Linked DNA regions of Rhinolophus ferrumequinum. The protein of the gene in region 2 interacts with the protein of the main gene of each other region in a pairwise test. Links are inferred from orthologs where the notes say so. Each region holds a gene or a part of one and is shown on either strand. Other genes may lie near its edges. The genes, in order: MBD1 and CHAF1A.

What was found.
Region 1: the proteins of CHAF1A (region 2) and MBD1 interact in binary tests that used the Homo sapiens proteins (3 or more experiments, as listed by UniProt). The link is inferred for Rhinolophus ferrumequinum from reciprocal best matches to the Homo sapiens genes CHAF1A and MBD1.

What each region holds. Positions count from the first base shown.
Region 1 is NC_046302.1:41,088,173-41,100,229, forward strand, and holds the start of MBD1 (methyl-CpG-binding domain protein 1), read right to left. Parts: upstream 4,932-12,057; 5' UTR 4,737-4,931; intron 3,345-4,736; 5' UTR 3,320-3,344; coding exon 3,210-3,319; intron 1-3,209. Other genes in the region: CXXC1 (CXXC-type zinc finger protein 1), read right to left, coding at 7,193-7,339, 7,418-7,570, 7,887-7,983, 8,134-8,183, 8,314-8,424, 8,500-8,707, 9,006-9,190, 9,328-9,435 and 6 more. UniProt on the Homo sapiens protein: Transcriptional repressor that binds CpG islands in promoters where the DNA is methylated at position 5 of cytosine within CpG dinucleotides. Binding is abolished by the presence of 7-mG that is produced by DNA damage by methylmethanesulfonate (MMS).
Region 2 is NC_046301.1:59,303,145-59,314,880, forward strand, and holds the start of CHAF1A (chromatin assembly factor 1 subunit A), read right to left. Parts: upstream 5,636-11,736; 5' UTR 5,585-5,635; coding exon 5,317-5,584; intron 2,328-5,316; coding exon 2,286-2,327; intron 1,567-2,285; coding exon 698-1,566; intron 1-697. Other genes in the region: SH3GL1 (endophilin-A2), read left to right, coding at 8,062-8,106. UniProt on the Homo sapiens protein: Acts as a component of the histone chaperone complex chromatin assembly factor 1 (CAF-1), which assembles histone octamers onto DNA during replication and repair.

The DNA.
Region 1 (12,057 bases), on a different chromosome or scaffold from region 2:
TGCGGGGCTGGTGGAATATAGGAGGCAGCCTGGGATAGGCCTGTGAGCTCTGACCAGGCCCTACCCCAACTAACCCTGAATAGCAAAAATATTAAAGGTGTATAAATGCCAGCAAGTATACAAACGTTAATAGTATAAACGTAAATGAATATGTGTGTGCTTATAACACATATTACTAATGGTATTCTGTATCAGTGAAAATAAACACAAATATATTAAATAACATGTAAATATGCTAGTTTTGCATGCTAAATATACAAACAAAAAAACTTACATAAGAAACAAGTGTTTAAAAGTATACATATAAAAATGTACATATAAACATACAAACAAACCAATGTATAACCAAATAAATGTAACTACATACAAAATAAAGTATAAGTAACTAATGTCGGGAGACAATACTCCACAGATCCCTTGTACTGTGTTTCCTGAAAATAAGACCTAGTCGGACCATCAGCTCTAATGCATCTTTTGGAGCAAAAATTAATATAAGACCCAGTCTTATTTTAACATAAGACAAGGTGTATAATATCACATGATATAACATAATATAATATAACACCCAGTCTTATATAAGACTGGGTATAATACAATATAATACCAGGTCTTATATTAATTTTTGCTCCAAAAGAGGCACTAGAGCTGATGGTATGGCTAGGTCTTATTTTCGGGGAAACACGGTACTTCTGCATGTCTTGCAAGAGAAGCAATGAATGTCCTTTGCTACTATTTTTTGCAAGGATGTTTATACAGCAAACAACCCTAGAAGGTAAGAGAAAGGGTCTCCTTCCAGAGAAAAGGGAAGACATCCTTACTGTCCTAACATTATAATAGATTGGATTCCTTAAGCTCAGGGTTCCTTTCCCACAATACAACCCAGTTACAGGTACAGGTGTGCTAGTTAGCCCTCTTCATGTGACCCTGTCGGAATTGGCATTCTGGGAACCCACACAAAAATTATGACATTCTGGATACTGTTATTGCTATGAGTAATAAATTTTCTTTCATCCCTGATCCAGGAATCTCTTATCTCCTACCAGCATCCACTAAACTGACACTTGTTATCTTAACCTAAGTAGGGTAAAAATCTCAGATCCTCTACAATTCTTGATAATTGCACTTACATTTATCAATGTTGAACGTTTATACAAGTTGTAAATATGTGAATAAATGTACAACTAAATATAAATGTAACTGTATTTGTAATGTTATTATATTCCTCCAGGAAAACAGCAACTTAGACCCAAAAAAGGTTCATGAAGAGTGTAGAAAATTTAATTAGTATATCACTAGTATATCTTCTTTTTATTATTATTAGTTTCAGGTGTACAAAGCAACTTAATAGACATTTACACTCCTCTCAAAGTGATAAGCCCCCGCCCCAAGCTACTACTCCTTTGACATCTTTTTTTTTTTTTTTTGAGGGCGCAGCTTACAGTGGCCCATGCGGGATCGAACCAGCAACCTCTGACATCTTATATAACTGTTATAACACCATTGACTATCTTCCTTATGCTATCTCCACCTCACATAAATATATATATATGTATATATATATATACACATATATATATATATATACACACATATATACACATATATACACACACACACATACAGTCACAGTTGACATACAGTTTTATCCTACTTTAGCTTTACTTGTACATCACATTGATCGTGCATTTACAGTATGAAGTGATCCCCTTGATACGTCCACTGCCAATCTGGCACCTTACATAATACTTACAACATTGTTGATTATATTCCCCATACTGTATTTCATATCCCCGTGACTATATTGTGTCTACTAATTTGCTCTTTCTAATCCCTTCACCTTCTTCCCCATCCCCTCCCTCACTAGTACACCTTAAAGTAACGTAAGTCCTTAAATGTAAACTGTTTATAAACACGTAAGTTTGTGTATTTATAGTTGAATTTCATTATTTATCGTAGTTATGTTCTATAAAGTCATCTGGTTCTATAAAGTCTACGCTGAATTAGTGAATACAGAACCACTGTTCCTTGTGGAACTACAGGTTAGGTTCCTACAAGCCTCTACTCACAACATTCTTGTAAACTAATCCTATGTAACCTTGTTTTTTGTGTGTTTCTGTTTAAAGGACACCCTACTTAATATCTTCTTCTTACAAATAATGAACTGCATGGCTTTGACTGATTTAAAGCCAGAAGCTTTGCAGGCCATCTGCATTATACAGGTTTCTTTGCCAACGTCCTTATAAAACAAGCCAGCACTGAAAATCTACTCTTCTACCCAACCCTTTTCCCATGTAGCACTTTGCAGGTATTTTTAAAAAATCTTCAGCACTCTTGATTTGCAGAACCTGCCTTGCAAGAAAATTTCACATTTTTAACAACGTTATCACCTTTTGAAACCTGTGAGACAGCCCGCACTAGCAGTAATAGGTTTAACATTTTCTTAACCCTGGGTAAGAAATGACCATCAATGTCCTTGGCTTTCAGGACTCACAGTGCTGTCCACTACACTTTGTATTTGTTCATCATTTCATGGATCTATGAATTTAGCCACTTTCCCACCTTTTCCTTAGCTTCATCACGTACTACAGATGTTACTTTAGCACTTTCTGGAGGAGCCTCACATACAAATTGAAAAACGTCCTCTTTCTTTTCTAGATGTACCATATTTTTTGATTCATTAACACTGAACTCACAGCCAAGAGCACTACAACTCACACCTGAATGAAGCTGATGCATATTTAACATGTATTTTCTTCTTATGGCAAATCAGACGTCTTGCACTTTAGGACACTAGATAGCACTGCAGCACTAAGTTTTAGGACCATCATAAACAGCAAAATCAGCAATAAAAATCACAAAAATTCAAAAAGCTTGGTACTAAGTAGACCATGAAAAGGACTTGATACAGTACAAGTGCTGAAATAACGCTTCATTCAACCTAAGCTGGGAGTGCGTGCACCAGGCGACTTAAATTTTTTTTGCTGTTCTGTGCATGTCCACGAATGACTACGAAAACACAGCTGAGTAATGACTTTGGGGATACAAACAGATTTTAGTGAGTAGGCAAATTTACAAATACAGAATCTGCAAGTAATAAGGATTGACTATATATGCATAATTTTAGCTCCACCCATAAATTTAACCACACCCAATTTCACCTTGCCTAACCAGGCTCAGCCCTTCCTGACTGTCCACAACCCACCCAGTACCTCTGATAATAGGTGTCTGAGCGTCCACAGGTAGCACCTGACTTGCGGAAAACCTCCCGGCGCTTCCAGCCAGGGCCCAGGGCTGGGCAGTCCAGCCACTCCTCAGCCATGGGGACCACGGGAAGGAGCAGCGGCCTGCAACATGGAGGAGCAACGGGAGAAACTGAGGCTCTAGGAGGTGACATGTTATGCCCCAAGCCACACAAACCACTGGTATCTATTAATACTTGCCCAAGACCTGGGACCTGCCACAGGCAATTGGCCAACATAAAGAAGAGAAAACCCCCATTCCCACCCAACTCTTCCCTGTCCCAGGCCCAGGAGCTTGACACTCCTCACCCTTGTGACCTGATAGCCCCGTCCTCAACCCAAGGGTCCTCATTCCTCACTCGCAGTGTCCTGATCCCGTTCCTCCCCATTCTCAGCCTGAGATGCCATCATTTCTGCCCAATGACAACCTAGGAGGCTCTCACTCTTTCCCTTCATTCTCGCTGTCCTTGGCCCACGAGACATTTTCTGTCACCTATTGGCCCTCTACTCCTCTCCTTTGTCCCCAAGACCTTCATACTCCCCATCCTCAGCCTGAGAGGCCTCGTCCCTCCCATCCTCAGGCCCAGCGGCTCCCATTCCACTCCTGCTCAGACTGAGGGCCCGGCACTCGGTCAGGATTCTCATTCCCATTCACTACCTTCCTTGACCCAGGAGTCCCTAATTTCTCTCTTTCGGCCTTTTAACCCTCCCATTCCTTCCCTGTGATGTCCTTTTATCCTGCTATCTCTGCGTTACTACATCGGTTTCCTCTGTCCTCTGCCCGAGTCCCCAACTCCTCCATAACCCTGACCTAAATGGCCCCTCATTCCTTCTGTTCCTCAGCTTGAAATCCTCCCCCCTTGTGTCCCCTCTCAGTGTTCTGAGCCACAATTCCTCCCCATCTCGCCCCCGAACCTCTCTATTCCTCTCTTCTGCAGCCGGGAAGTTCTCTTCTCCTTCCCTTCAGCGTCCTCATCCTCCATTCCTCTCATGAACCTAAAAGATCCTGCTTTCTCCCCTCAGCATTCTACACCCTCCATTCCTCTGTTCTTGTCCCAGAACCATGCCATCCTGTCAGTGTTCAGACCCGTTTCTCCTCGTCCTCCATAACAGACCCGTTCCTCCCTTTCAGCATCCCAGTGCCCCTATTTCTCTCCGTCATCAGCCTGAGGGCACCTCATTTCTTCCCCTCAGGGGTCTGAACACCTATTTCTCTCCTTAACGTGAAAGGCCCCGATGTCTCCCCTGAGCGCTCGGATCCTCCCCCACTCCTCTCCGTCCTCGTCCAGGATCCCGACACTTCCACTGTCAGCGTTCTGAGCCCCATTTCTCTCCGTCCTCCGTCTAAAATCTACCCATTCCTCCACTTCAATATTCCGACGCCGCCATTCCTCCCACTCATCGGCCCGAGGGCCCGCTCCGTCAGGGTTCTGAGCCTCAATTCTTCACCATCCTCCGCCTGAGCGCTCTCTACTTCCACCCCCACGACTGTCTCACCAGCTCGGCTTCGGGCCGGTAGCTTCCGCCGCTCTAGGTCCGCGGACCCATGACGAGGGTCCCGCCTGTACCTCCCGCCTGGCTCTGCTCCTCTTCCTCTTCTGCTGCAGCTTCCTCTGAAACGGTAGCTGTCGCCGCCGCGGCCGTTCGTTGCCCCCGACACCGGAAATCCGGGGCCCGCCTATCGGGTTCCGCTCCCAGCGAGACGCCTGCGCGCTAATGACCGCCTCTGCTTGCCCTTAATAGGGAGGATCCTGCGCCTGCGTGCTGGGTTCCGCAGCTGCGCGCGCCCTTTGCCAGGACGAGCTGCGCTTGCGCGCTGAGTCCAACTACGGCTCGTGTCCCTATCCGAGCTCCGCAGCGCGTGCGCTTCTGGCGTTGTCCGCCAGCGCGTTCTCCCCGCTCCGCCCACCTTATTTGCGCCTGCGCTCTCTGGTCCCAACCTGAGGGGGCGTAGAGGGTTGGGGTTGGCCCGTGGAATTCCTTACCTAAGTGGTCTTGTATAGAGCGTTACTTATGACTTTGATAGTTATGTCAGTCACAAAGTGACAGTCATGCCAGAGCACGTGAAAGGCATACCCAGTGAATGCCCAAACCAGATAACCAGAACACCCTATCCAGGCGCACGGTGGAGAGTGACCATCTGGAAGGCTTTATCTGACTACAGATGGGTGCACCGCACCCAGGCTTGAGAACGAAAACAGAGCTCTCTGAGGGCTCATCATTCAGGCCTCAACTGACAGCCGCATTTGCACTCATCTCAGACCGAGCGCTTGCAGTCTTGCCTCCTGACGGCCTCACCTGCCCAGCCTGACACCCAAGCACTCCAGCGACTCTCGGTGAACAGCGGACTCTCTCCTTCTTTCCTAAGACTGTTCACCTTGCCTAACCCTATTGCTTGCAAACCTCTTGTGTGAAACTGCTCTACCTCGACCATTGGAGGCTATCCTCTGGCCAGAGCCTTGGTTGATGCCTGTGGTAAACCCAGTCGGTACGACTAGATCCATGGCTTTAATTCTAATAAAGTCTAACATTGTAGAAACAAACATATGGCAGCCCCATAGCTCAGGTGGTTGGATCGCCGTGCTCCTAACGCCTAGGTGACTGGTTCATTCCCATATGGACCAGTGAGCTGCGCCCTTTATACCGAAGATTGTGAACGACGACTCATCCTGGGCTGCTGTGTTGCCGTGGGCTACCGTGTGCTGCCAGGTGCAGCCAGCGTGCGTGGCCGGCAGCCTATGAGAGCTGCCGTGAGCCGCCGACCCGCGACCGACTGCCTCAGCCGGGGGAGCGCAAGGCTCATAACACCAGCATGGGCCAGGGAGCTGTGTCCTACACAACTAGACTTGAGAAACAACGGCTTGAACCAGAGTGGGGGGCAGGAGGTGGAACAGACGTGTGAGACTGATACTTTGATAGTCATGAAAAGCTCACGCTAGGTCTCCACAAGGAGTAACCAGGAGGGAGGCACGGCGATGCCTGGTCTTGTGCTGGAGCCCTCCTCTCGCCTAGGTCGCGCAGGTGCCCCAGTCCCTATGAACACCTCCCCCAAGACTTGTATCCCGCTCTCTCCTCCCCACTGAACAGCTGCAGGAGAGCAGAGACAAGTTATGTTGAGCTGGCCCCAGCTCTTTCCCCAGAACTGGGGAAGGGGGCAGTGCCACACTACAGGTAAACAAAAGGCCAGGTCCATGCAACGGATGAGGGCAGGTCCATCCTGGAAAGGCCAAGCTGTGAGCCCCACTGGACCTGCCAAGCAGATTGAGTGGGGTGAGGCTTCTGGCACAAAGTCAGTGGACTCCTGCTGCATACATGTCCCCAAAGAGGGGTTCGTGGGGAAAGAGGGGGCCTTGGGATCATCGGGTACACCTTTGGTCTGGAGAATATTAACACTCACACAGCAGTAGTAAATCGATTAGCCACACACTGAACGAGTGCTGACTGGACTGTCTCAAAATGAGGCTGTGAATGGTGGGCCATTGGGCTCTTCCCTCAGCAGGTCGTATGCCCACAGCTCAAGGAGGGAACCTGCACCAAGTGGGTGCCAGTTGTATACTCAGCCTACACATGCACTGCAGTGCAGTCCCTCATGAGTACAGGTGTGCCACGGCCCATCTACCCCAGGGGTTTGGGAATGCAGTTGCAACTGGGTAAAGTTGGGAGACCATCAGTGGTTCTCTTTCTTGGTTCTTCACAAAATTTTATTAACAAAACCAGGGAGGCTGAGCAAGAGTGAGCAGCCTCCACAGTCCCACCCAGAAACAAAAAATGGAGAGAAAATGGGAAAGACAAGGACAGGAGGAAATTCTGAGACCCTCTGGTAAGGGCTGATGGGCAGTCAAATGGTGGGCGGGCACAAGGAAAAACTCAGGGACCATTACAAACAGCAAGAGGATTCCAGCAAGCTCCCACGCCTGGAATGCAGGGTGTGAGGACGTCTGGGCCAGTGAGGCTCAGCGGTCGGCACTGGAGCGCAGGTCGGTAGTGAGTGGATCATGCTGGATTGTTTGGTGCAACATCAAGGCCAGTAATCCTGCCCGGTTTGTCATGGCTGTGCGTACATTGCGCTCCTGCTCAAACAGCTCATCCAGCTTGTACCACTGCCAGGGGAGAAGAGCCATGAGAAGGAGTTCTGGAAGACCCACCTCACCCTGGCCACATCCGGCATCAAAACCTACCACGCGCACACGCTCCAGGTCCACCTCAGCACGCCGCAACTTCTCCCAGCAGTAATGACGGTTGCACTGGCGCTTGGGCAGGCGGCAGAAGTCACCTGTGAGCTCAAAGACGTCACGTACAAGGGGGCATCCGCATACCTCATCAGCTGGCACCTGCAGGGAGATGGAGTGGGGATGAATGAGAGGTGCTAAGTCAGGAAGGAAAATAAGAATGAGGAGTGGTCAAGGAGGGAAGGCATGGAGAGTTCAAGGGAGAGTGAAGAATGGAAAAGGAGAGGAACAGAGGATGAAGAGGCAGGGAAAAGGGGAGGAAAAGGAGATGATGAGAGAGTACAAAAGAAGATGAATGAAGGGTAATGAGGCAGGGAAAGTGTGAGTTATGGAAGTGGTCAGGTGGGAAAAGGAAAGGAGGTGGAGCGGTGAGGAAGGTAGGAGGGTCAGAATGGGGGGAGTTGAGGGAAAACCTTACTTTGGGGTCCCGTGAGTGCTCAGGGCACAGCACTTGGAGCCGCTTACAGTATGTCTTGCTCTGAGGATTGTAGACATCACAGAAGAGTCGTGTGGCCCTGGGTATTGGAAAAAGAGAGAGCGTAGTGGGGGGAGAGAAGGAAGAGGTCTCACTTATCCTTGCCCATGCCCATATCCTGCCACAACATTCCACTTCTGACCCCAGCTTTAACTTTGCAGCCCTAACCCTACAGAGTACCCACACTCACCCTTCAATGCGTGTGGGGTACATGGACCCAAAGGACGTCTGGCTCTCATACTGGAAGGATGAACACAAATGGAGGGAACTGTGGACATGCGCTGCATGCCCTCCCAAGACAACACATCTGTCCCCCACGGACCCAGTGATACTCCTGCACCGTGTGCCCCTCTCAGGCTGACACCCTGACCTTGGCATAGCAGCGCTCCATGTGGCGCAAGGCCACACGCGGGTTGATGGGGTGCCCGCAGGAGACACAGAAGATCTGCAGGTCCGTGTCATCACTGTCGCCCTCGTTGCTCTGCATGGAATAGAAGGAATGAGGCCCGGCAGGACCAGTACTGGGCCCTGCGCTGCCATGCGCATGCTTGCTCACCTCCTCATCCTCACGCACAGCCTGCTGCTTGGCACGTGCAATGATGGACTCGAGTTCATGGAATCGGCGCTCCATTTCCTGAAGGCGGGTGCGGGCACTCTGCTGCTCACGGCGGATGCGTTCGAGCAGCTTCTTGCCATGCTCCTCAGCAATGCAAGGGCTCTGCTGCCACTGCTGGATACGCTGGGGAAGGATCTCGTAGATGCGGCTGTAGGGAGCAGTGGGTTAAGTGTAAGTGGGAAGGTGGCAATCGAGAGATGAGCAACTGGGGTCAGCCAACAATGGCAGAATGAATGGGTGACTAAACGGTGAAAGGTAAGCAAATAGGTGACTGAAGGGTAGATAGATGAGCAGATAAGTGACCGAACGGTGGATGGATGGAGGATGGATAGGTGGGTGGTTGACTGAATGGTGGACAGGTAACTGACTGGTAGACATACAAAGGGATCTGGTCAAGTCCTACTCTATGCTCCCTTATTGCCTTGAACCCTCCAAGAATGACTCACTTGGCTGCCAGCTTCATGCCGCAGTCGTCTGAGCAATACTTGGAGCCGGGCTGGGCAGGGCGCACACAGCCAGGTCCCAGGCACTGTGGGAGTGACGCGGGGTCTTTGACATCTGCGCGCTCTGGGTGTTTCCATTTGTCCTTGTGCTTCTGCTTTTGCCGATGCCGCTTGTATCTCTCTTCCTTCTATGGGACAAGGCAGGTCAGGACAGTATACGTCAGCCCAGACCCCCATCTCTCCCTGCATTCCACCCCTTTCTGGCTCTCGCCCCATTCAGCCCGTGCCCTCTTCCTTCCCACATCCTTTTCACCCTCTCCATCACCTTCTTCTCAGATTTCTTCTCCCGACGCTTCACATGCTTCACTTTCACTGCCCTCTTCCGCAGCGCAGGGTCCAGGAATGGGGACTCTTCTGTGTCACTCATCCAGGGCTGCAAGTGAAGCATACAGTGACCCACCTGCCCCACTCATGACTTCCCCACCACCTACTCAGTTCCCAAATAGCCTTCCATACCATCTGCCTCCTCTCTCCTCATTATGGATACTCTGCTTCTGTAACCTCCCCCCTTCCACCCTGGGTGGCTCTGCCTGCTCACCAGGCCGTGGTCATCAAAGGCTCCCGCACAGAAGTCCTGGTAGAGGTCAGGGTCCAGTGGTAGGTCCTCATCTGAGAGTGGCTCAGGTGTGGCCGTAGCCTCAGGTGGCTCCTTGACCGCGGATGACGCCACTGACCCCTCGTCTTCACGGATGCGTCCCAGCTTCTGTGATGGCTGTGGCTGCTGCTGGGTGGGCAGTGGCCGGCGAGGCCTTGGCAGGGACTCTGAGGGCGTCACTGGCGAGAGCTGCAGGGCAGAATCTCAGGACTGGCCCTGAATAACCTGCCCGCATGCCCCGCCCCGCCCTGGGGGCTGGACTCACCGAAGGGAAGTACTTGTACGATTCCTGTGCCGGCAGGAGAAGGCCCAGGTCAGCCCCAGGTGGATGGAGGGTGGCCCTGCCCTAGCCTTTCCCACAAGTGCCTGGCCCCCCCAACCAGCCCCTACCTTGCCTACCCAGGCACACCTGCCCCCCCACCCCTCATCACTAGGACATGCTGAGCCATGTTCCTCCTGCTCTGACATGTCTGACGACCTAGAAACATCTGGCCCTACCCTGACTTCCTGGGTTTGGGGGTCTCCCCTGCTAGCCCAGCACACCTGGCCAAGCCCCATTCACCTGGACAAGCCTGGCTCCTTTCCACCTGTCTCTATGCAGTTAGGCCCCACCCCACCTAGCCCACCCATCCTAGGCTCAATGAGCTCTTCCTGAACACACTGGCCCCCTAACCTGACCCTGCCCAGCTCTGCCCATGCTCACCCGGGCCCGAAGCTGGCACTGACGCAGCCGGCACTTCTGCCGGATCTTGTTGGGGCCCCCAAACTTCTTCATGTCCCGGCAGAAGTCACAGTGGCCACAGTCTTCAGTACGTCGGCAGGCCTCGCACTCGCCACACATGCGGGCTGACCGTTTGATCTGCTGCTGCTGCTGCTGGTGATGCTGAAGGAAGGGGCCCAGAACACAAGTCAGGAACCCAAGTTGGGCCTGAGATGGGATCACCTTACTTATCCCTGCCACCACAGCCACTCACCTGGCTGGGTGTGGCCACCAAGGGCTGTGGAGAGGATTTGTGGGGCGAAGCAGAGCCCCGAGCAAGCATGGCCCCAACCCCTGTCCCTGACCCCGCCCGGCGCTGCAGGTCTGGATCCGGGGCAGGCCTCTTGCGCCCTCCACCCTCATCCCGGGGCTCACTGCCGTCTCGCTCATTGCTGTCCCGTTCCCGTGACTTCTTGTGCCGATAGCGGATCTCCAGCTTGGGGTCTTTCTCTGTAGAACAGAGGATGAGGCCGGGGAGGCTGACATTGGGGATTTGGGTTATCCCAGAACTCTTTTTCCCTCTTCTTTCCTGTCCCACCCAATGGTCTGTCCCCCTACTCCAGAGTACAGCTGCCCCCTCCAGTGTGACTCTCTATTATTGCTCACTACAGAACAATCACTCTGCCCACAGACACGTATCACTATTCCCTGAGACCCAGCCTCCCATTATGGCTCCTTCTCCTCCCTCAAAGCCCCACCTGCTTACCCAGTCCATTCCACGCGCCCCTCACCTCGGCACTCCCGACAGTACCATTCCCGGATGGCCTTGGCCATCTTCTCAGTGATCCGGATGCAGTCCCCATGGAACCACTCATTGCAGTTGTCACACCCACTGCAGAGGATGAGGCGAGTGGTGCAGATGTGAGGGGCGGGACCCATCGGCCTCACCCAACCTTGCCAGCTGTCAGTCCCGCCCACCTCTCCCTGGCTCACATCATGAAGCAGTTGATGTCTGGTTTGCGGCAGATGCAGTAGATGGGTGCATTCTCCCCATTCTCCGACTTGCTGTCCTCTCCAGCATCTGGAGGCTCTGGATCTGAACCGTCACCCTCCTGTGGGATCCCCCCAATTATGGCTTCTTAGAGGACCCCCATCATAGCATCTTCTCCCTCCATTATAATTTCACCAGGGCTCACCATAGACCCCAACACTCTGCCAACAGAATTCCCATCTTGGCGCCTCATAAATCCCTCCGTCATGGTCCCCACAGACCCCCACATCAATCACCCCTGACACCCCATTACTCTGCTTATAAACCCCCATTGCTCAGCCCCAGACCTCCCATACTTACCTCGCTGACACCCCATCATCCTAGCCACACATTCATAAAAGCTCGTTACAAACACCCTACCGCTCGCCACACACTGCCCCCACTGTGGCTCCTCACAGACCCGGCCCACAACGCGTTCTCACAAACATCTCGTAATTCAGCTACAGCCTTCGCATCACAGCTCCCCACACATCCCGCGTTATTAACCCCACAGTCACCCTCGCCCCCATCCTGGTTCCCCATGGACTCCTTGATACAGAGTCACCACGGTGCACTACAGACTACCTAACATGGCTCATCGCAAACTCTTTATCACTCTGCCCAAAGAATCCCCCATTCGGACTCCCAAGGAACTACCATCAGGGTTCCT
Region 2 (11,736 bases):
AAACACATTTCAGGACTCTTGATTGACTTCACCAGTTTTACCCATAAGATTTTAAGGACAGGCGAGAACAGAAACATTCGCCATTGTGCTGATCAGAAACCAAAATTTTTGACCAAAAATTTCAAGTCATCCTTCTGGGGTCCTTAAAAATGATGCCAGCTTTCTCTTTTTGTTCCTATTGCTCTGGGTAAGGTTTTTAAGTGGGTGGCCATGCTGGCGAGAGCCGACTACAGAATCCCCCATTTCAGTCACCTGCCATCTTGGGGTCTCTTTGCTAACACTGACAGATTCTTTCTCACCGACACTCCTACAAGTCTGTGTTGTAACAGGAAGAAGCAATGGAGGGAGTAGAAGCTCAAGTCTGACATGAGGGGTTCACAGTTCTCTGCTGACCTCCATCGTTCCCTGCAATGGCTAAGTTGACCAGCACCATTAACTAGGGGTGAACAAAGGCTACCAGAATGTCATGGACACACTGGTGACTAACCCAGCCACTAGCTGTCCGTGTCACTGAATACCCCTCATGGTTTCTGATGTTGGAAAGAATCAAAATTCTACCTCGGAAGTCAAGGACCTAGTCTGTGGCCCCTCTCACTTGCCCACTAACCACCTCGGGGATACTGTGTGCCCAGGTGAACAGGGGCGGAACCAGAAGCGTCGTCAGCACCGACAACCTGAGACGCGGGGAGATACTCACTCTGCGGACAGGTGTGGACGTGGGGAAGGGACAGGGGCTGCTGTGCTGCTTTTTGGAAGCAGACCGCCCCTCGGGTGAGCTAGTAGGAGAAGAGCTCAGGGATGAAGGGCTGAGGACAGAGTCTTCTTCGGGGCCGGACTCCAGCACGTCACTCTCCGAGAGCACGCCCTGGTCTGGAGGGGCTGTGAGAGAAGACTTGGCTCCAGGAGGTTTCGCAGCCAGGATATCCTGTAAGACCACCACGGGCACCTTCCCTCTGAACAGGATGCCCCCGGCTTCGCTCCAACCATCCTGGTCCTTCTCGGAGCACATTCTCAGACTGTGTGTCAGCTGGGGGCAGCTTTGGGGTGAGCCTTTCTGTGCATCTCTGCTCCTCTCTGTGCCCCCCGAGCCGGCAACACCATCGTCCTCTGTTTTGCACAGAATGTCTGAAAGGGTCTCTCCAGGAAATGTCAGCTCATCCTTCTGACTGGCCTGTGGCAGCCCCTCTGCATATCCAGCTTCTCCTCTGAGCCCATTTACAGCCTCCGTGGAGGGAGAGGATGCAGAATTTAGTTCACTGTGGGCCATCGTGGCGTCTCGTTGGTCACTCGAGTCCTCCACCAAATCAATGATGACCGTGGTCTGCCCAATATTGGTTTTCACTCTATTTCTTAAAAAGTTATCTAAGGGACCCTTCCCATTGACAATTTTTGGCCTAAAATCTATGTTAGAACCCATATGAAAGCTGTTCTTCAAGTTGTCCAAAGAGGTTTCGACATCAGGGACTTGACTTTGTGCAGGAGCGCTCGGAGAGCTTCTTGTGTCATCCAACCCGTCCTCTGGTTTCTCCTTTGGGGCAAGAGTCAGGCGCTTGAAGGGCAGACGAGCTGAAACACAGGAGGAGGCCATCTTTACAGTGAAAGTGTGAAGAGTAACAATCGATCAATACTTTATTCCATGTGCTCAAAAATGATTGACCTTGCTGGGTTTGGGGGTAGGGTTCATAATTTATCAGTTTATAAAACTTGCCATCGGTTGTCACAGGAGAAGGCAAATTGCTATTGGGGGCGGGGCTGGGGGGGAACTAGATACCAAGTTTTAAAAACCAGAAACCATGGTTTTTTAATATCAACCAGCCACTAATCTGGCCTCAGTGTAAATTCACTCCCCTTTTACACAAAAGAGTTTAGGGATATTTATCTTCCTATACAACAGTGGTTCATCTGGGGCAGCTGTGCTCAGCAGCCAACCTCTAGCAGTGTCTGGAGACATTGGTTGTCATGCCTTGAGGGAGGAGGCGAGGAATGCTGCTAAACTCTCTACAACACAGCACCCTCCAGTCCAAAAAATTACAAAGTATCAATAGTGCTGAAGTAGAGAAAGCCTGCTGCAAAGGCAGTGACCTCTGGATTTGCTCCTGGGAGTCTAAGGAAACAGTAGTGCAATAAAATGGGTTCCCCAGCTTCTAAAAGTGAGGTGCAACTGTTTCCCCCCCCCTTGATGCTACCTCTGAGAATGCTGCTCAAGGGGAATTAAAAATATAATTAAGGAGACAATGAAGAATATAAATTTGGAACAAATATTTAACCCATTACTGGAAAGTTACCTTGTATTAACTTCTTGACTGGTCGGTCTCTGCAATCCATGGCTGTGAATAAAAGTGTCAAAGGATAAGTTATTACATGCTGGAAATAATGAAGGAGCAAATACATACGTAGCACCTATTCTGTACGAAGTGGTTGTCCAGTAGGGGTGACTTTGCCACCCACACCCTGGGGCCTTTGGCAATGTCTAGGGGCGCTTTTGATTGTCCAGACAGGCGGAAGGGAGTATTCGCATCTACTGGGTAGAAGAGAGGGATACTGCTGAATATTCTACAATGCACAAGACAGCTACCTACAGCTGACAATTACCTGGTCCAGAATGTCAGTAGGTTAAGAAATCCTGCCCTGGACACTGTCACACCTTCTTTGTTTATTTTCCTGTGGCATTTATAGCTCTGAAACTTACATTGTTTATTATGTCTCTCCTCCCCACCCCCCTGACAGTGGGGAGACTTGCCTGGACCACCTAGCTCGGGATCTGGCACATACCGTGTTTCCCCGAAAATAAGACTGGGTCTTATATTAATTTTTGCTTCAAAAGATGCATTAGGGCTTATGTTCAGGGATGTCATTCTGAAGAATCATACTAGGGCTTACTTTCCGGTTAGGTCTTATTTTCGGGGAAACACAGCAGTATGAAATCAATGAATACAGTAACAGCAACAATGAAGGGGGTAATAAATAAAAACAGAGATAAGAGAAAACACTGTATCAATGATGTCACTATTAATATGACCCCAAAACATCCTCTTCTCCAATCCAACTAGTTCTGTAAAATTAGAATAGGATTTTCTTTTTAAATAGAGTTTATGAAAGTAATGCAACTTAAAGCATTTTGCGCTTGCTAGGCAGGAGCTTAAGTGCTGTCAAAAAATAGTAAGGGAGGGCCAGCCCAGTGGCTCAGGCGGTTAGAGCTCCCTCCGTGCTCCTAACTCTAAAGGCTGCCGGTTTGGTTCCCACATGGACCAGTGGGCTCTCAACCACAAGGTTGCCAGTTGAATTCCTCCAGTCCCGCAAGGGATGGTGGGCTGCACCCCCTGCAACTAAGATTGAACACGGCACCTTGAGCTGAGCTGCCGCTGAGCTCCCTGATGGCTGTTGGTTGGAGCTCATCCTCTCAACCACAAGGTTGCCAGTTTGATTCCTTGACTCCCGCAAGGGATGGTGGGCTGCGCCCCCTGCAACTAGCAATGGCAACTGGACCTGGAGCTGAGCTGCGCCCTCCACAACTAAGACTGAAAGGACAACAACTTGAAGCTGAACGGCACCCTCCACAACTAAGATTGAAAGGACAACAACTTGACTTGGAAAAAAGTCCTAGAAGTACATATTGTTCCCCAATAAAGTCCTGTTCCCCTTCCCCAATAAAATCTTTTAAAACAAAACAATAAAAAATAATAAGGGAGAATGTTTTCCTGCATCAAAAAACTCTCAAGAGAAGCATCTCATAATATCACAGCTGATACAGGAATGACCATATGAGCAAATAGTTCAAGTCTTTGGACAAATATCTTTAAACAGTCAGAATAAGTTTAGAAGCTTGCACCTGCTAGGAAATCTGGCTTGGAGAAATCCAGTTTATTTTGGGTAATCTACATATGTTTTGTACAACATATATACAAGTAAAGATCGGGGATTTCTAAAGAACTCAGCTGTCCATAGATGAAACCACCCTCCGCACTTCCAAGCTGGAAATATAAGGAAGGTACCCAGAAGACTCATATTTCCATTCTACCCATTTCAAGACACTATCATTCTGAAGCTTTCAGTTACCAAACACATGGATTCCCATGCAATTATTGGTATGGATCTGACACCAACTTTGATGCAAGTAGAACAGACCTTAGGTCAACCAAGAGGGACCTCTAGACTGTTCAAAGATACACATACAATTAAGACACATTCACATATAAACTCACCACTGCTCTTTATCCTGATATTATACCCCACCTAATTTTACTTGCTATTAAAATATCCTTTCCTTTTATAATAGTACAGTCATAGCAGGTGATGCTTTTTTTTACTTTTTAAACATTCTTACTGGGTCAAATGACTGTCCATGACAATCAGTCCCAACTTTATTTATATGAATTTTATGTCTTTGTGAAATCCCCAAATCTGGAAACAATTAGAACAGTGGTTCTGCCCCGCAGGGGCCCTTGGCAGTGCGTGGATACATTTTTGGTTGTCACAACTTGGGGAGGTGGGGTTGCTACTGGCATCTATTGGGTGGAGGCCGGGGATGCCACTCAGCACCCTCAAGTGCACAGGAGGGCCCCAAAAGTCAATAGTGCTGAGGTTGAGAAACCCTGAATTAGTCCAGTTGATGTCCCTGCCAACTCTTAATTTATTCAACCAACACATATCTATCCGACACCTACTATGTGCCAAGCATTTTGCCAAGTGCTGGGAGTCAAGCAGAGGGGAGGGCAGTCTAGTCTTCTTTGGTACACCACACTACGTATGGGGGGGGGGCTGTTAGGTGCTAGAAAACCCCTTCCAAGACACACAGAAGAGAAAGACAGGTCTTCACCTTGTATATCCACCAGGATCAAGAATCAGGGAGTCGCAGCTCCCTGACATTCCCACCATCCAGGCGTCTTACCTGGGCTTGCCCTGACCCGCAGACGCAGCTGTGACCCTGGGCCTCAGTTTCCCTACCCGGCCAGAGGGTCGCTGCAGGGTCCAACTTGCTCAGTGGAGACTAATGCAACCTTCAGAATCGGTCCTTTCACCTCCCTGGGCCTCAGTTTCCCTTCCTGGCCACACCGACCCGTCACCGCAAAGGGCCCTAGAAAAACGAACTTAACGCCAAAGCACGGGGAAAAAATGGTCGCGGCTGCAACAATAACGTCAGGGAGGGCGCCATTCGGGTCGCAAGGCCCTTCCTCGAGATTGTAACGACCTCACAGACCGAACGCACCGCGCAGAGAAGCGGCCCGGGATCAGTAGGCCCTTCCGCCCCCAATCGCCTCCTCGGCCCGCACAGGCCGATAACCGTATCCCCTTCCCCTCCGCGCGGGCGGAACTGACCTGCGGCCGCTCCCCTAGGGGCCGGCGCCCCGCACTCCAGCTGTTCCAACATCGCCCCGGCGGCGGCTCGAGCTCCCCTCGGGCGGCGGAGACGCTGGCTCCACTCCGGCGGCCGCGACTGCTCGCCCTCCCGCCCGCGCCGCTGCTGCCGCGGCCGCCGCGCTCGTATTTGGCGGGAACCGCTGCGACCCCCGCAGCCCGCGAGCCGATTGGACGAGGCCGCATCACGTGACGTCCCGCCTCGGGAAGAAGGGAGCGCTGGAAGCATCCTCGCGAGATCCGTGGCTTCCCTTCCTCCCCCTTGGCTCCCCTTTTGATATTCCCGCGGAGTGGCGGTCTTCCTCCCGGCGTCTCGTCATTGGCGGGCAGGAGGCGTTCTTCAATTGGCGGTGGAGAGTGTCAAGCTGAGAGATCGTCACTGTGATTGGCTGAGTGCGTGGGCTAGGCCAATAGGCGAGAGGGCCAGGGTCATGACGAAACGTTTTACGTGCAGCGGCGTCACAACCTGAAACTGCGATTTAGATGAAGACTGAAGTTGTGGGTGTATCCTAATAGGACATCCGCTAAACATACCAACAGCAATTAAAACTTTAAGTTACTTTTTATATAAACAAAAATAAAGTAAAATCTGGGCAATACTTCAGAAGCATTTGATACGCAGTAAATATATTCAGAGGGAATTAATGAAATGGATTTTTCTGGTTTAATCCTCGGGATTTTTGCACACGCTGTTTTCTCAACTAGAAAGCTCCGTAACTCCTTTCCTGTCTAATTTCTACCTATCTTTCAGATCTTAGATTGACACCTCAGAGAAACCTTTTTTCCTTTACCCCCAACAAAAAGTGCCTACAACGTTCTTTTTCTTGAAGCAATTACAGCTTATGTTTATGATTAATCATAATTGTTACATGATTAATAACTGAATTTCTGTTTTTGTCATTAGTTTCATGAGGGCAGTAATCATGAATCACTGTATCCCCAGGACCTATCAATGACTAATACATTAGTAGGTACTCAATAAATACTTGCGTGAATGCATAAATATCATTTGGACTGTGTGATCCGTGTAGGTTAAAAGCCTCACACACAACACTCGGTGTCAGCCTGCAAGCCTTAGAAACAGGTTTACTTCAGCAAAAATTTAATCTCTCAAGCAGAGCAGAAGACTGAAAGGGAGTCCAAATTTGAAATTCTATTGATACTATAGATTGAATAAAATTAAATCAGTAGAATTAGTTGGAAGCAATCTGGAGAAATTGAAAATTTGGGGACATCAGTTTGGGCAACTTATGTCTTACTAAAGTCCTCAGTTTCCCCATGTGAACCCTGAGGACGTTTTCTCTCTCTTCTCTGATATTTTGGCATTATGCAATGATTTAGACCAGTGGATTATGCAATGTTTAGACCATGGATCACCGTTGAGGGTGTCCATCATAATCACAGGGGCTATTTTTTCTAATCATTCATAGTAGCCTCATTAAAATCTTTGGGAGGGAGGTGGGGGCATGCATATTCTGAAAAAAATCCTCTGATGTAGTCCATACCTTCTGTTAGGCATTTGGAAACTTTCAGTACCCTTCTGCTTCAGAAAATGTGTCAGAGATTTCAGCACTGAAGTTGCAAGCACTTTAGCTCTAGTCACTTTCTTGTTCCTCTTTTTGGATTCTTTACTTGTTCCAACTCATTATTAATTTCAAATTCATTCAATATGTTTTCATCAATAAGAATTAATTTTAAAAGTCACTGTTGATAAATATGTATCAATCCGGGAAGGCTTCCTGGAGCAGGAGACATTCCAAGCAGATTCCTCTTATACACAAATGTTGGGGGGGGGAAGATTAGAGAAGAATGTGCAAGAGAGGTACAACTTTAGCAAAGGCCCACAGGCAACAGGGATCATGGACAATAGAAGAGGAAGAGAGCCGAAATCAGAGGGTTGACTGGGCCAAATTGTGCAAGCTTTGTAGGCCATGTTAGGAAGTTGGGAATGTATTCTAAGGGCAGTAGGCAGACTTTAAACAGGGGACTGTGATCTGAATCATGTTACAGAGGCATATTTCTGGCTTCCTGGTAAGGGATGAACTGGAGGGGGAAACCTGAAGGTGGGCTCACCAAAGAAGAGGCTGCTGGTGCAGTGGTCTGGTCAGGGCAGAGAGGACAGTGGGGATCGTGAAAAGGAAGTAGAAGCAACACCCTGATGTCTGACTTGGGCAACCGAATGGATGAAGATGGGGCAAGGTTGGGGATTAGACAGGAGGGACTAAACGCGTAGATGAATTCGGTATAGCTGAGATTAGCAAACAGGTATCTGGAGACTGAAACCCAGTCTCCCAACCTCTCCAGAAAGGCTTAAGCGCATTTCCTAAGACGTTAGAGCCACCTCCGGCACTCCAGGGGACGCTGCATCCGCCAGGGCCGCTCTAGGCTCGCCCGGGTCCACTCGCTGGCAGAAGCGGCCGCTCCCGCAGCAAGCGAAGTGCGCGTGCGCCTTCCGGACAGCAGGGGGCGCGCGTGCGCAGACGGGGCCGGAAGTGTGCGGTTGCCATGTAATATCCTGGCCGCGCGGGCGCGCGACGGGCTGAGGCGGCGCAGGGGTGGGAGCGGAGCTGGCAAGAGGGCGGCGGAGGCGGTGCCGACGGGGCCCGCTGAGGCGCACGGGGGGTCGGCGGCGCCCGGGAGCCTGTCGCTTGCGCTGTCCCTCCGGTTCGCTGGGTCCCGGCGGGAGGTCGGACGGCGGAAGGCAGAATGTCGGTGGCGGGGCTGAAGAAGCAGTTCTACAAGGCGAGCCAGGTAAGCGGAGGCCATAGCTAGGGCGAGTCCCGGAGCCCCGGCTTCCCGGAATTAGGGGTCGGGTTAGGCCCGGCCCTAATTAGGGAGGTGGCCGGGGACACCGAGGGCACGTGTCCCTCGCAGGGTGGGGAGAGCCCAGGAGGGCCGGGGGCTTGGTGCGAGGTGGCCCAGGCCTTGCCTGCCATGTGGGCTCCAGTCTTCTCGAGAAGGATGGGCAGACCCCTGGCTGGGACAGAGAGAGGCACCCAGAGGTTGGACCGGGACGTGGACCCCTCCTCGCCTTCCCTGGAAAGGGCCGGGTGGGGGAGAGAGAAGAGGGAAGAAACAGTCCCAAGGCTGTGGACACACGACTCTTGCCAGATAGCGCAGGGGCAGGAAAATTTTGTGTCTAGAACAACTACTTAAAAACACCAGCAACAAAAAAATCTCTTTCAATGGACCCGGTACAAAGTTGAAAGGGTAGAGGGAAAAGTCAATTTCTCACTCCAGGCCCTCAGGCATTCAGTCCATCTCCCTCAGAGACAAGGACTGTCACCAACGACTTATGTGTGTCTCTTTCCAAGGTATATGTACGCCTTCCCTTTAAAAACACACACAGGTGGTGTAGCATAGTCCACATAGTCCTATGTACTTTGAGTTTTTTGTTAAATCTGTCTTGGAGATCACACTAAAGCTGGAATTCTCCACCTTGGGTCACTCTGTGGTTGGGGGGGCCGTCCTGGGCACTGTGGGGTGTTGAGCAGCATCCCTGGCCCCCACTCACTCATAGGAGCAGCCTCCCGGTCGTGACAACCACAGATGTCTCTGGTCGCTGCCAGATGTCCCTGGGGGAACCCCTTCCTTCCTCTCCCCCAGAGTTATTGCACTAGAACATACCCCTAGGGCTTCTTGGATCTTTTTAATGGGTTTCTGGTATTCCATTTCATGACGTGTACCATAATTAATTTTATCAGTCGTTTATTGATGGATGTTTATACTGTTTCCAGTAGTTTTGTGCTATGAACAATACTGCAGTGAATAGCTAGCAAATACCTTTGCTCACAGGGGGGATTGGATTTATAGGATAAATTCCCAGAAGTGGAATGCTGAATCCAAGAATATAGGTGTTTTATATGTGATGGGTAGTGTAGGTTTTTTGGGAAGTCGGGGGCAAGAAGCCCTGGGTTCCTTGAATACTGCTAGTCCCAGCATCGCATCCCAGCTTAAGAACCATAGGTGTGGAGTTTTTATGAATAGACTCCATAGAGGAATGAGTGGTAATCCTCCAAATTGTCTAGGCCATGCTGGCCAACTGGGCTGTACTCCCAATTTGAAGAGGGCCAGTGGGAGGGAAGAAAAATGCGTCTCCAGTAACACATGCTAGTACCTTTTGCCCCCCAAGGGGAAAAGTCACAACCGTAGTGGTTGTCTAGAGCTAAAGATATTTGGAGTCTGTCTGTAGACCCCAGATGTTGGCTAAACCCTAGAGGAAGAGAGACTTACTCCCGAGGGATTCTGAGATTGTTGCTGAGAGTACAGCCCTTTGACCTAACAGGATGGAATGAAGTGACCTGGTCCTGGGTTAGACCCTGCCCAGCAGACAGCAGACCGCTGGGTGCTTGACTGGATGTCTCTTTTCTGGGAAAGCTGCTCACTGTCTTGGACCCCAATGTAGTCCCTCTTGCAGGACTGATGTTTCCATAGTTCTTGGAAGAATTCCTGGGCCACTTTGTTCCTTCATGCAGACAGGTCTGTGGGAGCCCTCCCTGTCCCACCCCCAGCTATCAGGGCCCATGCTGGTGGCCCATCCCAATCAGACACATTATGCCAGAGGAACTAGCTGGGCCTTTCAGGCCAGCCACCAGAGCTTTTTCTGTCAGGGGCAAACAGGATGGCCTGCATTTAGATCTGTGACGAGTGCTTTGAAACCTGACAAGCACAGTGCAGTGTAAGCTGGTGGTTCATTTCAGTTTATTAGCTGAGGCCCAGCCTCAAAGAACTGCTGTGATGGCCACGTCCTAACCTGCATGGTCGTCTTGGCCGCCTGGTCAATTCCAGGTTGTGTTGTCCTCTCAGGAAATCAGCCTGGCTATGTTCCATTCTCTTCTGCAATAGTTTCCACGGTCCTCTAGCATCTCCATTGTTTATCTGGCTGTGTTCATCTAATTGTGTTTCTTTCTCTTGGTCTAAGGAATACCTCTTTCATCCTCTTCTATGCCCTCAGAATAGGGTTGTCCGTTGAAGAGGAATGTCTCTTGTTAATGTAGTAATAATATTTATTGAATTCTTAGTGTGAACAGACAGTAAATGCTTTAAACCAGTCCGTCTCAACTGGCCTCACTTATCTGGCCCAAGGGTAAATGTATTCCCCTTTTTAAACAAAAAGATTTGGGGACATTTATCCTCCTCTAGAACAGTGCTTTTCAACCAGGGCCACTTCCGCCCTCCAGGGGACATGGGCAATATAGGGAGACACTTTTGGGTGTCACACCTTGGGTTACTACTGGTATCTAGTGAGTGGTGGCCAGGGATGCTGCTTCACACCCTACAGTGCACTGGGCGCCCCCACAACCAAGAATTCTCTGGCCCCAGATGTCAGCAGTGCTGAGGTTGAGAAATCCTGCTTTCAGGTGCGAGAAAAGTGAGGGCCATTGTACAAAGACAACAACAAAAATCCCACCTGAGCCACTCTTGTGGCAGCTGCCAGCGCTTCCCAGTTGTTAACACACAGATAACCACATATACACAGATGGACATGTACAGAAAACTCAGCATCCACATCCTGAGAACCCCAGAGTGTCTTTGGCATCTGGTATTTTTGAGAAGGTGTAAGTTTGCATCCGTGCATCTCAGCCAGGGCTGACTATCCCTGCTCTCTCTGCTCTACCCCTGTGCACCTTCCTGGGGACATTTCGCAATCCCGGAGACGGTTTTGGGTTGTCACGAGTTGGGGAGAAGGTGCTCCCGGCTTCGAGTGTGTGGAGACCAGGGAGGGTTGCTCAGCAGCCTGCAATGCGCAGGACGGCCCTCCCGGAACAAGAAAAGTATCTGGCCCGGAATGTCAGTAGCGCCCAGGTTGAGAAATCCTGCTTTGAAACAGGTTCTTGATTTCAAAGGCTTGTAACAGTGTTGTTTCTAAATTGAGAAATAGAAGCCAGGTGGATGTGGGAGAGAGCTGGGAACAGAAACTTGGTTTCTAACAGGTGAGGCTATGATGTTAATTAAAAGTTTCTATTCTCATTGATGATGCTGGTAACAAACTAATTACTATTGAAGGCACCTTCCCCCCCACACACACACCAGCAAAAAGACTACAACTTGATTTATTGGGACTGCCTTTATTGCCGTGGTCTGGAACCAAACCTGCAGTGTTTCCGAGGTCTGCCTGTATCGGGCAGTATGCTGGCAAATTCCATACCATTTCATCTCAGATGAAAACTTTCTTTCAGGTCTTGTATATAAAATCAGTTTGGGCTTGAGTGGGAGGTTTGTGAGTTTTTACTTCTTATGAATTGGCCACTGGCTGGGTTGAGGGCCTGGGCTGAGGAAAGTTGAATTTATAGAGGAAAACAGTAAAATAGGCATTTGTCTTGGGCTGTTTGGGGCCCCTCTGGCTTCCGTGTGTAATGCCCACTCCTCCAATAGCCATCT